2 linked regions of the Mytilus edulis genome follow. The protein of the gene in region 2 binds, or shares a complex with, the protein of the main gene of each other region. Links are inferred from orthologs where the notes say so. Each region holds a gene or a part of one and is shown on either strand. Other genes may lie near its edges.

Region 1 (8,085 bases), on a different chromosome or scaffold from region 2:
ATGTTGAAATGAAGTTATAATAAAAATGTAGCACCATTTAGGATATCAGTGGGAGGATGAATTATGAATTCCTATTTTCTACCATTAAAATTGCAATTGTTATATCCCATCAGCAAGATGTTTCTACAAAAAATAAATTTTAAATTTCATAAAAAAATCTATGCAAATTATAAACTCTGACAATATTGAAAGAATGCCTTTTAGTTGGTGATCCTTAAAAAATATTTATGAAAAAATGGTGATTACCATGCATGCTACATTATTATTTATTTACCACTATATTTTTGAAAGGAGAGGTCTGTGTTGCCTTCAAAAGACCCATCTTATTCTAGTATGTCTATAAACTATAGGAAAGAAAACACATTTTTTTTATAAATGTTGATGTGTCTATTTACACAGCAAGTATCACAAATATTATTTTTTTTACAAAAATAAATATATACATGTACTTTAAAAATTGTTTTTCCTTGAATTAGATATTTCATTAGTTACTTTCTAAATGTAATAGTGTGAAAAGATAAGGTTTTATTTTACAGAAAGTTAGCCATCTTTACTTTAATGCTCATATTTTATCTACTTTCGCTTTTGAATTTCTTCCAATTCTAACAGAAGCGTTCATGTTGGATACTCAAAGGAATAGAAAAGAGGAAAGCTGTAGAAAGCAATCTATTAAGATCTTGAAATTAAATACAGTTGTTTGTTCAACAGGTCAAAAATATAGTATACAAATTCCTGTATAAAACAGACAAATATATATGAAAATGAAAATAGTCACATGAACTCAAAACTGTGTGAGCTTTGACAATTTACATACTCTCCTACTAGACATGCATCACTTATCACACAATAACAATAAAATCACATCAGGCTTAAAGTTTTACAAACAGGAACATGAGAAAATAATATCATATTGAAATAAGTTTACAATAGAAATCAATGAGTTAAATGCCATTAGTGAGTTCAGATAAACCAATTTGTGATGTCAAGCATAAAGCATTTATAAAGTAGGAATTTCAGTCCTTCTTCATTACAATTTACTTATTAGTAGTTTTAGAGTAAAAGACTGCACACAAAGTGCATCAAATGTCCATAGTCTCTGCTGGTCAGCCATATTTCAACCATCTTTTTTTTTTGCCTGTCTTTGTTGTACACACAACATTTAACAAAGAGGTAACATTTATAAGATTGTAACCATGCCCACTTCAAGCAATTTATTCATAGTATGAATTTAAACCAAATATTCAGATAACATGTAGATGGTATGTTACTGCTCGAAAATGGGTTGTTGACAAAAAGAAATTAATTGAATTTAGTTTTAAGCTGCTTATTGTCAGTTTAGAAAAAGATATAGAACAAAGAGGTAATATTAAAATAAAGTATAGACAAAACAGAACAAATCAAATCATTAGGTCCTAATATAACAAGAATATATTTTTTTTCTTTTTCTAACCTATTTAAGTACGACATTGTTTTTACAAATTATGTGCAATGTTACTTACGAATACTTTTGCATGTTAGTTTAAATCTCAATTCATTTTTACATGATAGTATTTTACTTACTCTATCAAGTGCGATTTGGTGATCACTAGTGGTAGTTTGCTTTTGTTGTTTTTCAGTACTTGAGGATCCACATCCCATAGCTTGGTAGGTTTAATACAGTCTCTATTGTCCTTTATTGTAAATTCATAAGAATAGATATATGCTGTTATAATTCACCAAAACAAGACTTTGAAAGGTGATTGGTCTTCATCAAGATATCTAAAAGGGAAATTTAAAGATTTTGTTTGATAATTTTTCCTCTTGCCTTTGACAAGGATTTGATTATATTTGCAGTCCCTCAATTAAATGCCGATGGAATGCCACTGGAATACTGTCGACTGGCATAATTAACATATTCTTGATAAAAAATAGTCCAGCATTTTGACTTATTCAGTTAAATTTTATTTGAGATTGGTTTTTGTGTGATTCTTAAACAAAGTGTGATCTTGAAATTAACCCTTAGCTAGATATGAGTACCACATATACTAGGCGTGTTCAGCTATTAAAAAGAAAATGATGTCAACATTAACAGCTAGACAAGGGTTAGCCATTTGGTAAACTGATGTTATCCACACAAATTCATTCTTATACACAGATAAAAACGAAGAATAACATATTTTAAATCTATAATATGGAATCAAACAGACCTTGAAAAACCCAATTGCATATGCTACCTTCAATTTCTATTCATGTTTATATCGGGCTATATGACCGTCCACAGTCTTCAGAAGTCATCTTGGTGGTTAAGTTAAATGGTGTCATGACTTAATTACTCCTGAAATGCAGAAATATATAATCAAGTTTAAGTTTATAGTATGGGTGTCTTTCACCATTTTGGATTGTAAATAACAGTGCACTAAGGTCCAGATTTTCAATTAAGTTAGCAAAATTTGATTAGGAATGCAGATAAGTAACCATGAATTTTCATTTAAAGGGAGAAATTTATAAGATTTTAACGTATAAATATTACTAATTTTTTTTTAAGTTAGATAAATTTTGCTTAGTTTTTATTTTTTGGAAAGTTTGCTATAGCTTGCTATCGCAACTTTCCATAGGCTTCGGCCTCAACTACAGACTATCGCAATGTTCTGCTCCAAGATAATGTAGTTCTAGTGTTCGAAATCTGATTCTTGGATATTTTGAGTTGCTACTCTAAATCTTTTGAAAAGATTAAAGCTTGAATAAAAAAGGAATGAATGTTCACCGACAATTCAGGTGAATTTAACTTCATTTTAAAAATAAGTATCACAAACACTACTTTGCGGATCAGCCATTGCTTGAAGAGAAAATCAAAAGATATCTAGGCGAGACCGTTTCATTCATGAATATTTTATTAATAAACATTTTCCCGCACTATGTTTTACTCTGTACGATATTTACAACTGTTTATTATTGAATAAGTAAAAGCCCGAGTGTATCGAAAGAGTCCGGTATGCGAGAACAAGTTGATATTTGACCAAGTTGTCGGATAATTGACAAGTGATAATGGTTTGATTTATTTTACAATACACAGGTGATAGAATATAAAATAATCAATAATTAACTGGCTTATGTCTCACGCCAAGAATGAGTAAAGGTAAATACCGGCTTTTCGTCGTATAAGCTTTTTTATAGACAGACACACCTCTAATATTAGTATATATAAGGGTAATTTGGTATAGAAACTTCTTTTTTCTTTATATTTAACTATGTACAGCACACTTTGTGGATGGTTTTTAGTATGTTATGACTTTTAAAATTATATACAGATATGGCTTTTAATTTGGTTATTATTATAAGCTTATTTGATTTACATGTGTGTTATTATGCATGTCAATGACAATAATATTATAAAGATAATAAATGCTAATATGGGTGTAATTTACATAGGGAGTTTAGTCAATGCTTAAAATCTAAATTATCTCTTTCATTTCATATTTATAAAAAACTATGACTTTACTCAGTATGATAAAAATTATATTAAAATTATATATTGAATATAAAAATCATTTTGTGTCATATTTTAAGATATTTGTCCTGTTTTAAAATATAATGGATTACAATATAAAGATATTCTAGCCAATTTACCAGAAAATAAGATAATAAAAAGATAAAAACTGAAAAAGCGACTTAAAGAATAATTAAGATCATTTACTATCATCTTAAACAATCCAATTTCACTTCATGTTAAACAATCCAATATGGATTTATATGCTGATGATTCAACATTGCATTTTCATGATAAAAACATTGAAAAAATAAACAGCATATTGCAAAATGATTTAAATGCTATACAATCTTGGTGTAACAATAACAGTATGAAAATCAATGCACAAAAAACTAAGTGTATGAAATTGGGTTCAAAACAAAAACTTAAACAACTATCAGAATTATGTATTACCGTCAACGAAACATGTATTGAGAATGTCCATTCTTTCAAATTACTTGGAATAGACATTGATGAAAATTTAAGCTGGGAAGATCATGTTGATCGTATATGTAAAATTATCTCATCTAAAGTATCACTTTTATATAAAATTAAAGTATATTTGCCAATACACACAAGGCAACTATTTTATAATGCATATATTCTACCATATATAGACTATTGTAGTTCAGTTTGGGGAAATTTATTACAAAAAGATTCAGATAGAATCATAAAACTTCAAAAAAGAGTAGCAAGAATTATACTGGAATGCGATATTTCTATTCCATCTAATTTCATGTTTTCTTCTTTAAAATGGCTATCTTTTACCAAAAGAATAAAATACCAACAATCAATTCTAATGTATAAAATTGTAAATGGGCTAACACCTGATTACTTAGCAATACTAAATATTGATGATGTGCAACGCCACAACTTACGATCTGTCTCTAATAATGATCTTTTTGTTCCAAGACCAAATACAAATTTTTATAAAAAATCTTTTCATTATTCTGCAACCAAAGTATGGAATAATTTACCACTCGAAATAAAGAAATGTCCTAATGTGGAATTATTCAAGAAACATAGTTATAATCATTTTCTTGAAAATTATATGCAAGTCAACTAATTTGTTTTCCTCTAACAAAACTATATCAAATATTGTCATTTATTACCCTTTGTATATTTCAATGATTGAATTGTGTATATACTAGTAATATATATTGTAAATTAATGTATGAATGTATGAATGTTAACTGTATGCATGTATTTTGTTTGAGGGCCTCAATGAAAATTAGACTATTTCTAATTGAGTTACCCTCTTTAAATAAAGAATTTATTATTATTATTATTATTATAAAATGGTGAATATTTTAAGGTTTAGACTTTATTTGATTCACTAGTAATTTTGAGCTAGCGAGACTTTTATTACTTGCACTACCTCATGATAGTATATATTGGAGTTGTGCTTGTATACGGGTGATTTACACTTTTTCATGATTATATTATCGGAATATTATTTTCTGAGTACTTTTTCACTTTTTTTAATGTCAACAATACTTATAGTTCTTTAGTGCTTTGATATTTAATAACTGGTATCTCCGTGACCCAGTTTAGCGGAGAAGTGCGCAAGTGTTGCAATTACTTCCTGTTATTGGTACAGTACGAGATGGTGGGTGTTGATTCTAAAGCAATTTTATCTTACTGTTCCTTTTGTAGTTACCTGTTTTATGATTACATGCCCGCGTAAGAAATGCACAGTCACATATTTAGTCTGCAACTTCCAATGGAATCTGTTAACTAAGGCATACAGTGGAAATCATTTCATTTCCTGATAAATGTTCTAACCGGAAGCATAGAGAAGCCGATTTTTATGATACATTTATGTCTGTCTTAAACTATTTTTCGTATCCTCTCATCATGTTCTTTACATTTCTAAGGAATTCTCTGTTCCTTACGTAATCTGTTGAAAAGGGGGAGATGCCTGCAATGGTAAATCAATAACCATTGAATATGTGATTTTCGCCTTTCCTCACACATTTCTGTCTAAATTCTGATAACTAGACTGGACTTTTAACCAGATTCAGGGCCTTGATTGGTCTTTATGGTCTCATATGTTGACCTGAAGATCTATCTGCAGGTTTAACTTCCCTCTACAGTGCTCTGACATCCAAATTGGTAACATTGAAATAGAAATAAGATGTGGTGTGAGTGCCAATGAGACAACTCTCCATCCAAAGGGACATAACACCACTACAAACCGTGTATGAAATAAGCCCCGCTTCCCTACTACCTTATATGGAATATAAAGGGATGCAACTCCACTACTAACCATGTATGAAATATGCCCCGCCTCCCTACTAACCTAATATCAAATATACACGGTTTCCATGAGGACCCTTTTAACCAATCACATTCCTAGGAATGTATAGGAGGTAAGATAATACATTATAAACCATGTTCAGTGTTCTCACTACATTTGTAAGTGAGTGTATGAGACTTGGACTTTTAATCTTTAGTCATAAAATTAAGATATTTGCACTAAGTTCATACAACATTTAACAATTTTAATATATCTTTGAACTGACCAGTTTTGAAAATGATTAGACTCTTGGACTTGCATTATTAAGAACCCTGATACACTTGTAAAATAATATTAGGTAAGGTGTGTAGTATAAAGCTGTTTTCTTATAGGAATATGTAAGAATGACTGCTTACTTGGCTGATATTTTGAAACTTATCAGTAAATGGTTATTATTTTTCAGTCTGCTACTTTGAAGCCTTACTTGAATGCCATCAAGCACACTCTTACAGCAGCCATATGTGTCCAGAATTTCAACTCACAAGTTGTTGAACGTCACAACAAACCAGAAGTAGAAGTCAAGTAAGTAAAGTAACCTGTACTTGTCTACAAGTTTGTAAATAACAGAATTCCTCTTACATGGTATGATTTGATAACAAAAAAATTTAGTGACAAGAAAAATTGTATCTTCTAAGTTCCAGTCAGTGACACACTGTCTTCCAGTCTCAAAGAATGAAATTAAACATTAACATTCAAATAAATTATGTAATATTGACACACTGTTCATTCTTATACATTCAGTGTACATGTATAGACAGATAATAACAAAACTAATTGAACCTATCATTTTAATTTCAGATCAAGTAAAGAACTTCTTCTTACGCCAGTTGTGATTAGTAGAAATGAAAAAGAAAAAGTATTGATAGAGGGCTCAGTAAATTCTCTAAGAATAAGTATAGGTATCAAACAGGTAATTATAGCTACTTGTCTTCATGTACATCATAATTTTAATAAAAAGTATGGTATGAAAGATTGTTGTTTAACATTTAGTAGCAAATAACAAATATATTTATTAAGGATGGGAATAAGCTATTGATAGGGTCTGCAAATAAAGTTTCTTAAATAGATAAAATAGAAATAAGGAGATGTGGTATGATTGCCAATGAGTCTAATATTGACCAAAATTCAAATGAAGTGGATGTAAGCAATTGAAGACAACTGTACGACCTAATTTAAGGTTACCCCCTCCTCCCCCCAGGTTATACACATTTAACTGCTAATGGTAAGATGCAGTAATCAAAACAGTAAATTCTAATACACTTGTTAAATGACATCTCAAGAAATGATGACTGTTACTATTTTAAACAATGTACAAATGTAAATAGAAGTTTATATTTTGACAGGCTGATGATATAGAAAAAATCTTATGTCACAAATTCACCAGATTTATGATGCAAAGAGCAGAAAATTTTGTTATTCTTAGGAGAAAACCTGTAGAGGTAAGAGCTGATTATATTAGAATGAAAAATTAAGATGGTTCTGGATTTTTTTCTGAAAATAAGATTAGGCTCTGCATTAAAGTGTGTTTAAAATTAGAGTTGCAACATTAGAAGCGAACTACAAAGATGGGAATAAATTCATAATTCACTTGGAAAATCTATATTAAAAAAAACAACCTCACAGTCTTGAATAGAATTTTCTTTGTTATTTTTATATTGTACATGCACAACAAACATACATGTATACCTTTGTTAATGATGCCCAGCTTTTATTGGCAAAAGCTAGACTAAGGTGTGCATTTTCTTTGCTGAGCATTAACTATATATAAGTTTGATAAATTGTGATTAGGTCAGTTTAAAGGGAACCATTTATAATAAGTCAATAGTATAATATATAAAGTTTTATAAGCTTTGGCATATACAAGTTGCATTTATAATATTATTAAGCCCTGCACTTCATTCATGGTTCATTAATTATATATAAGGTTTAATGTTTTGTATTGTTTAAATATTGCCATTTTAGTTTTAAACAATTGTATTATTAGATCAAAATAACATAAAGAAAAGACCAATCTCAGTACATGTATATTCATAAAGGTGTATTGTGGAGGATTTTAATGAAAATTTAATAACACAATTTTATTATTTTTAGTTCAGTTATTTGTTTCTATAATTCTAACTTTTAACATTGGAATGTTTTAATTTTGTTTCAGGGTTATGATATTAGTTTTCTAGTAACGAATGTACATACGGAAGAAATGTTTAAACATAAACTTGTAGACTTTATAATTCATTTTATGGAAGAAATAGACAAGGAAATTAGTGAAATGAAGATAGCCCTT
Region 2 (7,451 bases):
AAATGATAAGATTTATCAGAGAAAAAGGTTCTACCACTTGTTGTATTGGTGGAAATTATATTTCAACCCTCCATATCAACAAAATAAAATAATCCATAAAATCAATCACTGTGAACAAACTTTTACTGTTACTTTTGAAAAACAAAACAAAAACACTTATTTAGTTTTAAAAGAAAACAATCTTTTCTACATAGCAATTCTCACCTTGATTTCATAATTTCTAAAAAATATATTGGCCTTGAAATAATAAATAGCTTCATCTATAATGTCTGAGTCACTACCTGAAATAAACATACAGATTTTTATAGTTCATTCTTATGTTGTACTGTTATATCACTGTCCCAGGTTAGGGGGAGGTATGGGATCCCGCTTAACATGTTTAACCCTGCCACATTATTTAAGTATATGCCTGTCCCAAGTCAGGATCCTGTAATTCAGTGGTTGTCGTTTGTTTACGTGTTACATATATTTGTTTTTCGTTCTTTTTTTTATATAAATAAGGTCATTAGTTTTATCGATGAATTGTTTTACATTGTCTTATCAGGGCCTTTTATAGCTGACTATGCGGTATGGGCTTTGCTCATTGTTGAAGTCTGTATGGTGACCTATAGTTGTTTATGTCTGTGGCATTTTGGTCTTTTGTGGACAGTTGTCTCATTGGCAATCATACCACATCTTCTTTTTTATATACAGATGAAAACATCATTCAATTTGTTTATTTTGTAAATCTTCTTATGTCTGAATTCTATAGTGCATGTTAAATTACTAAATTTGCAAATCAATAGATTTTTTATCTGTATATAAATGATATATCAAGAATATATTGAAAAAACTTAATGTGGTGGCAATAGCATGAATACAAAGTATAAAAGTTTGTTTACATGTCTAAGTCTGATAAGTTACATGTAAATGACATAATTTGATAATATAAAAGCACTTTTAAATTGAGATTTGATTTGTTTACATGTATGTCATGTATGCGTAGAATTGCATTGATGAAACATGTGAAAAAGGTTCTGCCACTCAAGACTGACTTTTATATTAAATATAGAGTCTAATATTGACAGAAACTTAAAAGAAAAAATATAAAATTTATGAATTTTAGTACTTACTAATACAGTTGAATTCATATACATGATATATAAATAATAATTATAAAGTAAACTGAAGTAAGCCTAGAATTAAAGTTCTGATGAAATGATAACATTTTGTCAACCCCCGAATTCATATATCTAAGTAGTGAAACTAAATAAGATCATATTTGATAATGATGTCTTCTTAAAAATGTAAAATTGACATATTGTGTAAAATGACTACTTTGTAAATTTACATTCTTATGTTTTAATACATACTGTCTTTTGGTGCTGGTCCTTTGTAACTTGTTCTTAGTGGCACCAATGCTACATTTCCTATAAGTTTAGGAGGGTTTGTAAACTGTGAGTGATAAGCCTGTAAAATACAATAACACAGTGTTTTAATATACACTTTCACAAGGCAGGCACCCTATATCTAAATCTAATCTTCCTTGCTATCCCAACTAGAACTTGAACTGTAAGCTATTGCTCACGATTGGTACCCCTACTGTCAGTGAAGGCTATAACTATAGTGACAAAGTAACCAGATACTCCGCAGGGCACAGCTTTATACAATCACAGATCTCGATCTCAGATCAGTTGGGGCAAGTATTGACACAACATTCAAGCTGGATACAGCTCTGAATTTGGATTAAGATTAAATACATGTAGCTGACAGAGAATGAACGTGGTCTAATGAACTCAATTTTTTTTTTGCTTTTGAGCAATTCACTATGCTGTTGAATATTAATCCCCCCCCCCAAAAAAATGTTTAAAGAATTTTTTTTTTCACCTCCCCCTTTCCCATATGCCAAAAATAATCTCAATTCAAATTTCTAATGAAGTTTGCAACAATAACTACTCATTTACTCATTGCAGTTCTTTATTTCCTCACAAACAATCTGCTTGACTTTAGTTATCCTCGTCACATTTATTTTCAACTGTTTTTTCAAGTGATGTAATTCTTTTCTCATAACTCTCCATTATATGTTTGCACCTTTTTTCTATCTCAATATCGGTAACTGCATGTTGTTCCATGACTATCCTGCATTTTCCACAAAACCACATTGCATCTGTTTTACATAACATGCTGTATTCCGCTTTTGTTTTCTTAAGACAGGTTGTGCAAAAATGTTCCTTACACCTTTGGCATTCCATAAGTTGAGCCTCTGGCTCTTTGAAGATTTTGGTACATTTAGCGCATGTCCATGCCTCCTCCTCGTCTTGACTTATTTTTTGTGACGATTTGGGACCTGTTGTACTGCTTTTTCTAGTTGATGCCATACTTTTTAAATAATAAAAATAGGGCTTATCTATTTTTTTTTACCTGGCTGAGGAAATTGCATAAGGCTTCCTTACACCAATTTCATTTGAAGTACTTTATTTTGTTCTATTTTTAATTAAAGAACGAGGGGTTCCCTATCCTTGATTGTTGTATTTCAAACGAAGCCAGACTATCCTAATTGTATTTTGGTTTAAAGGACAAGGCTGCCCTATCCTTTACTAAATTCGATTGTCAAATGGAGCTAGACTATCCTATTGTTGACAGGGCTTCTCTATCACTTGTTTAATTTCTTTCGGGACAAGGCTTCCTCATCCGTTTGACATATTATGAAAATGTAGACTGCACTCTCAAATGATAGAAATATGGCATGCTATGTTATGATAAAAAGAATACATGCGAATAAATATAAACTTAATTCATTAAAAAGTATCCTATATGATATGAAGACAAATTATTTACTGGCATTTTCCTTTTTCAATGTTTCTGTTACACCCCAATCACTTCCTTGAGAGGCCGCTTCAAACAACTACAAAAATAACTTAAAAAATGTCAAGGAATACATCCAAATATATTTCCTTTACATGAAAAATAATCTATAAAGGTACCAAACTGCTTTTTTTATAATAATAAAATGTAAAAAATAGATACATTCCCACCTAAAAATTATATTATTTTGATGTGTCACAAGCGGCAACGGTTTGACAAATAACCGAAAAAAGATTAGTAGAAGCTCACACACTTGAATTGTATTTTGTATTGCACCATAAGGTCCGCAAAATAGTCAAAAAATAACATACGGTTCCGCAGCTAGTATTGCACTTGAATAAGAAATGCCACGATATGGACAATTAGTGATGGGTCCGGCTGGAAGTGGAAAGGTAGTGACGGGTTTTAATTTTGGTCAACTCAAGTGTACAAATATAATTTTTCTCATATAAACTGCTTGTGGTTTCTGTATAGGAGGGACGAAAAATACCCAAGGGACAGTCAAACTCATAAAACGGAAAATAAACTGACACACTAAATATACTGATAAGTGATGCAGTGCTACAGCCTACATAAGGGTAGTAATGGGGTACCCTCATGACATATATAGGTAAAAATTCTTGCCAAATGATGTTAACAGTAATTTTTAGTGCATATCAGCTGAATTTGATGAAACAAGTTTTTTTTCCCAAAAATAAGGGTAACGATTATTATTTGAGACATCTTACGAATCATGATAAGGAAATTTTGACAAATCACGCTAAAATTTTAACCAATTTGATGCTAACGTTAGTCGAAAATGACTGTTTGACGCCTCATGGTAAAGGGGTATTACTAACCTCATACATGTACATGTGTATGTAAGTTCTGTTAAATATACTGATTTATTTTGCTACTTTAAAACTGAACTCTGTGGAAAACTGCATGAAGAATCCTTTTTATTAAACATTCTGAGATCAGAACTATGTCTGAGGGTGGTAATGCACTTTACTGTCATGTGTCAAACGGTCATTTTCAGCTACTGTTAATGTCAAATTGGTTAAAATTTTACAGTGATTCCTCAAAATGTCCTTACAGTGATTCGTCCGATGTCTCAAATAATTATCGTTACCATTATTTTTGAAATAAATTAGTGAGATTCGTCAAATTCAGGTGATTTTTTATCATCTAAACATTCAGGGGACTAAATAATGAATAAGTGATTTAAAAATCACTTATATCATTAAGTCCCCTGAATGAGTAGCAAATTTGAAGCTTTGTCTCCAATTGTAATTTTGTAGTTTTACCAAAATTTCAAACACATAGGTTTAAATAATATCTTTTCATTAGTAAAATTGAAAAAAAATGTATTTTTTGCTTCTTTGAAGTGGAAAGGTTTATGCCTTTGATGCTATCATTTAGCTGCAAATTCTATTTTAGTTGAAAAAATGCTGTTATAATGGCTTTACATAATGAACTGATACTTTCTTGACAGATTTTTCCCAGCAGTGGGAGTATTTTTCCTTTAAAGTTCAAGGTTTCATCTTTCAGATTATGTAATAAAATTCTACTGTTCGGATAAAAATTTCACTGTTCGGGGATGTTGAAATTAGTGGGGGTTATTAAAATATTGATAGTTAAAGAAGTGATTTTTGGGAATGAAATTGAGGTATGATAAATTAAATCACTTGTTCTAGTGATTACTTTGTACTACTTAAATAGGTGATTATTAAAGAAAGACAACTCTTAATTCCAATCTTTATGGAAATAATGCTACTTGAATCAGTGATTTAGAAAATCACTCATTTAAGTAAGTCCCCTGACTGCTAAAAGAAAGTGTACATTTTATTGTCATGGACTAAAAATTACCATTAACTTCATTTGGCAAGAATTTTTACCATTATCTATCATGAAGGTACCCCCATTACTACTATTTGTATCATTATTTAATATCTCTGTGTCAATATATGTTTCTCACTTGTAACCTATAAAGTTTGCTGAGGCATGAGGTTGGTGCATCGATAACATTTCCAGGTAGAAAACTTCAGTGACTGAATTTTTGGCTCTCCCTTGACAGTCACATCATTAGTAAGTATGGTCTGACTACCCTCATGTCTGTGTGCATGGTTTGGGTCACCCAATTAGGCAGAAATTATCTGTGTCTGTTTACTCATTCAATATTATAGAATTTTATTTAACTTTTATACAAGTGAGAGGTTTAGCTAGCTATAAAACCATTTTCTACATTTTGAAGTTAGGAATATGTCAGTTGTTTCCATTCATTCAATGTTTAAAGTAAATAAGTAAGATGTGTTGGAGCTTTAAATTTTGCCATTTGATATTAAGGTTCTTTCTGAGTTGAATTTTCCTTGGAGATCAGTATTTTTTGTTATTTTACTTTTAAGTAGCTTACCAAAAGACATATATTCTTGACTATAACATAAATAACAATATAAGCTTTTTTCTTAAAACTTTTGTATCAAGGTCACGAGCTTCAGGTATGTATGTATGATCATTTAAAAACATTGTTAGGCAATGCTTTGTTTCTGAAAAAAATCAGTAGATTTTTAGCTCACCTGGCCCGAAGGGCCAAGTGAGCTTTTCTCATCACTTGGCGTCCGGCGTCCGTCGTCCGTCGTCCGTCGTCCGTCGTCGTCGTCGTCGTCGTCCGTCGTTAACTTTTACAAAAATCTTCTCCTCTGAAACTACTGGACAAAATTAAACCAAACTTGGCCACAATCATCATTGGAGTATCTAGTTTAAAAATTGTGTCCGGTGACCCGCCCAACCAACCAAGATGGCCGCCATGGCTAAAAATAGAACATAGGGGTAAAATGCAGTTTTTGGCTTATAACTCAAAAACCAAAGCATTAAGAGCAAATCTGACATGGGGTAAAATTGTTTATCAGGTCAAGATCTATCTGCCCTGAAATTTTCAGATGAATCGGACAACCCGTTGATAGGTTGCTGCCCCTGAATTGGTAATTTTGAGAAAATTTTGCTGTTTTTGGTTATTATCTTGAATATTATTATAGATAGAGATAAACTGTGAACAACAAAAATGTTCAACAAAGTAAGATCTACAAATAAGTCAACATGACCAAAATGGACTGTTGACCCCTTTAGAAGTTATTGCCCTTTATAGTCAATTTTTAACCATTTTTCGTAAATCTTAATTATCTTTTACAAAAATCTTCTCCTCTGAAACTACTGGACCAAATTAAACCAAACTTGGCCACAATCATCATTGGGGTATCTAGTTTAAAAATTGTGTCCGGTGATCCGGCCAACCAACCAAGATGGCCGCCATTGCTAAAAATAGAACATAGGGGTAAAATGCAGTTTTTGGCTTATCACTCAAAAACCGAAGCATTTAGAGCAAATCTGACGTGTAGTAAAATTGTTTATCAGGTCAAGATCTATCTGCCCTGAAATTTTGAGATGAATCGGACAACTCGTTGATAGGTTGCTGCCCCTGAATTGGTAATTTTAAGGAAAATTTGCTGTTTTTGATTATTATCTTGAATATTATTATAGATAGAGATAAACTGTAAACAGCAAAAATGTTCAGCTAAGTAAGATCTACAAATAAGTCAACATGACCAAAATGGTCTGTTGACCCCTTTAGGAGTTATTGCCCTTTATAGTCAATTTTTAACCATTTTTCGTAAATCTTAGTTATCTTTTACAAAAATCTTCTCCTCTGAAACTACTGGACCAAATTAAACCAAACTTGGCCACAATCATCATTGGGGTATCTAGTTTAAAAATTGTGTCCGGTGACCCGGCCAACCAATCAAGATGGCCGCCATGGCTAAAAATAGAACATAGGGGTAAAATGCAGTTTTTGGCTTATCACTCAAAAACCAAAGCATTTAGAGCAAATCTGACATGTGGTAAAATTGCTTATCAGGTCAAGATCTATCTGCAACAACAAAAGAAAGAGAGTTTTTAAAGACCTCAGCTGGCTATACAACCCTTGCACAATCAACTGAATTTTGCAGAAATCATTAATAGGATAGATTGCCCTTATATGATAATTTTTTATTACCTTTTTGTTTTTTTTTGGCAAAGTGGGGGGGGGTTGCGCAACAACAAAACTACTTCACAACTTTCTCATTACTTTGCATTTCTTGTTAGATAAATTTTACAAAAATTCTCCCCTGAAACAACTGTTGAATTTAAACAAACTTGGTTTAAATCACCACTAGGATATCCAGGGACCACTGTGTATGATGACCCTGCCTGCCCACATGGCTGAAATTAAACATAGGTTTCAAATGCACTTTTTAGTATTATATCTCTGAAACTAAACGACAGTACAACAGTTGCATTTATCATGCAACAATTGTAAATAAAAATATCAGGTGAGCGACACAGGGTCCTTGGACCCTCTAGTTCTAAGTTTTTTACCAAAACCTAGTTTTTAAATTTAACAGAAGTAAAACCATACTACGATACACATTTTTATTGATATTTACAGATCTTAATTATGTTTGTACCTTGTGAAGCAGTTGTTTCTTATATTGAAAAGTAATATAATTTAAACATGTTAAAAAGTTGGAACTAAAGTGTGAATCTTGATTGACAAATTTGCATAAAACTATGCAATGTATTATACAACATTA

The links. Proteins that work in one complex are often made in the same cells at the same time.
Region 1: actin-related protein 2/3 complex subunit 3-like (region 2) and actin-related protein 2/3 complex subunit 4 share a complex: the UniProt entries of both Caenorhabditis elegans proteins name them as parts of the arp2/3 complex. The link is inferred for Mytilus edulis from reciprocal best matches to the Caenorhabditis elegans genes arx-5 and arx-6.

Annotation. Positions count from the first base shown.
Region 1 is NC_092344.1:98,210,021-98,218,105, forward strand, and holds the start of actin-related protein 2/3 complex subunit 4, read left to right. Parts: upstream 1-5,040; 5' UTR 5,041-5,111; coding exon 5,112-5,114; intron 5,115-6,207; coding exon 6,208-6,326; intron 6,327-6,602; coding exon 6,603-6,714; intron 6,715-7,147; coding exon 7,148-7,243; intron 7,244-7,956; coding exon 7,957-8,085. UniProt on the Caenorhabditis elegans protein: Functions as actin-binding component of the Arp2/3 complex which is involved in regulation of actin polymerization and together with an activating nucleation-promoting factor (NPF) mediates the formation of branched actin networks.
Region 2 is NC_092349.1:81,609,459-81,616,909, reverse strand, and holds the start of actin-related protein 2/3 complex subunit 3-like, read right to left. Parts: upstream 3,059-7,451; 5' UTR 2,824-3,058; coding exon 2,818-2,823; intron 1,450-2,817; coding exon 1,353-1,449; intron 282-1,352; coding exon 205-281; intron 1-204. Other genes in the region: GPN-loop GTPase 3-like, read left to right, coding at 3,189-3,236. UniProt on the Caenorhabditis elegans protein: Functions as a component of the Arp2/3 complex which is involved in regulation of actin polymerization and together with an activating nucleation-promoting factor (NPF) mediates the formation of branched actin networks.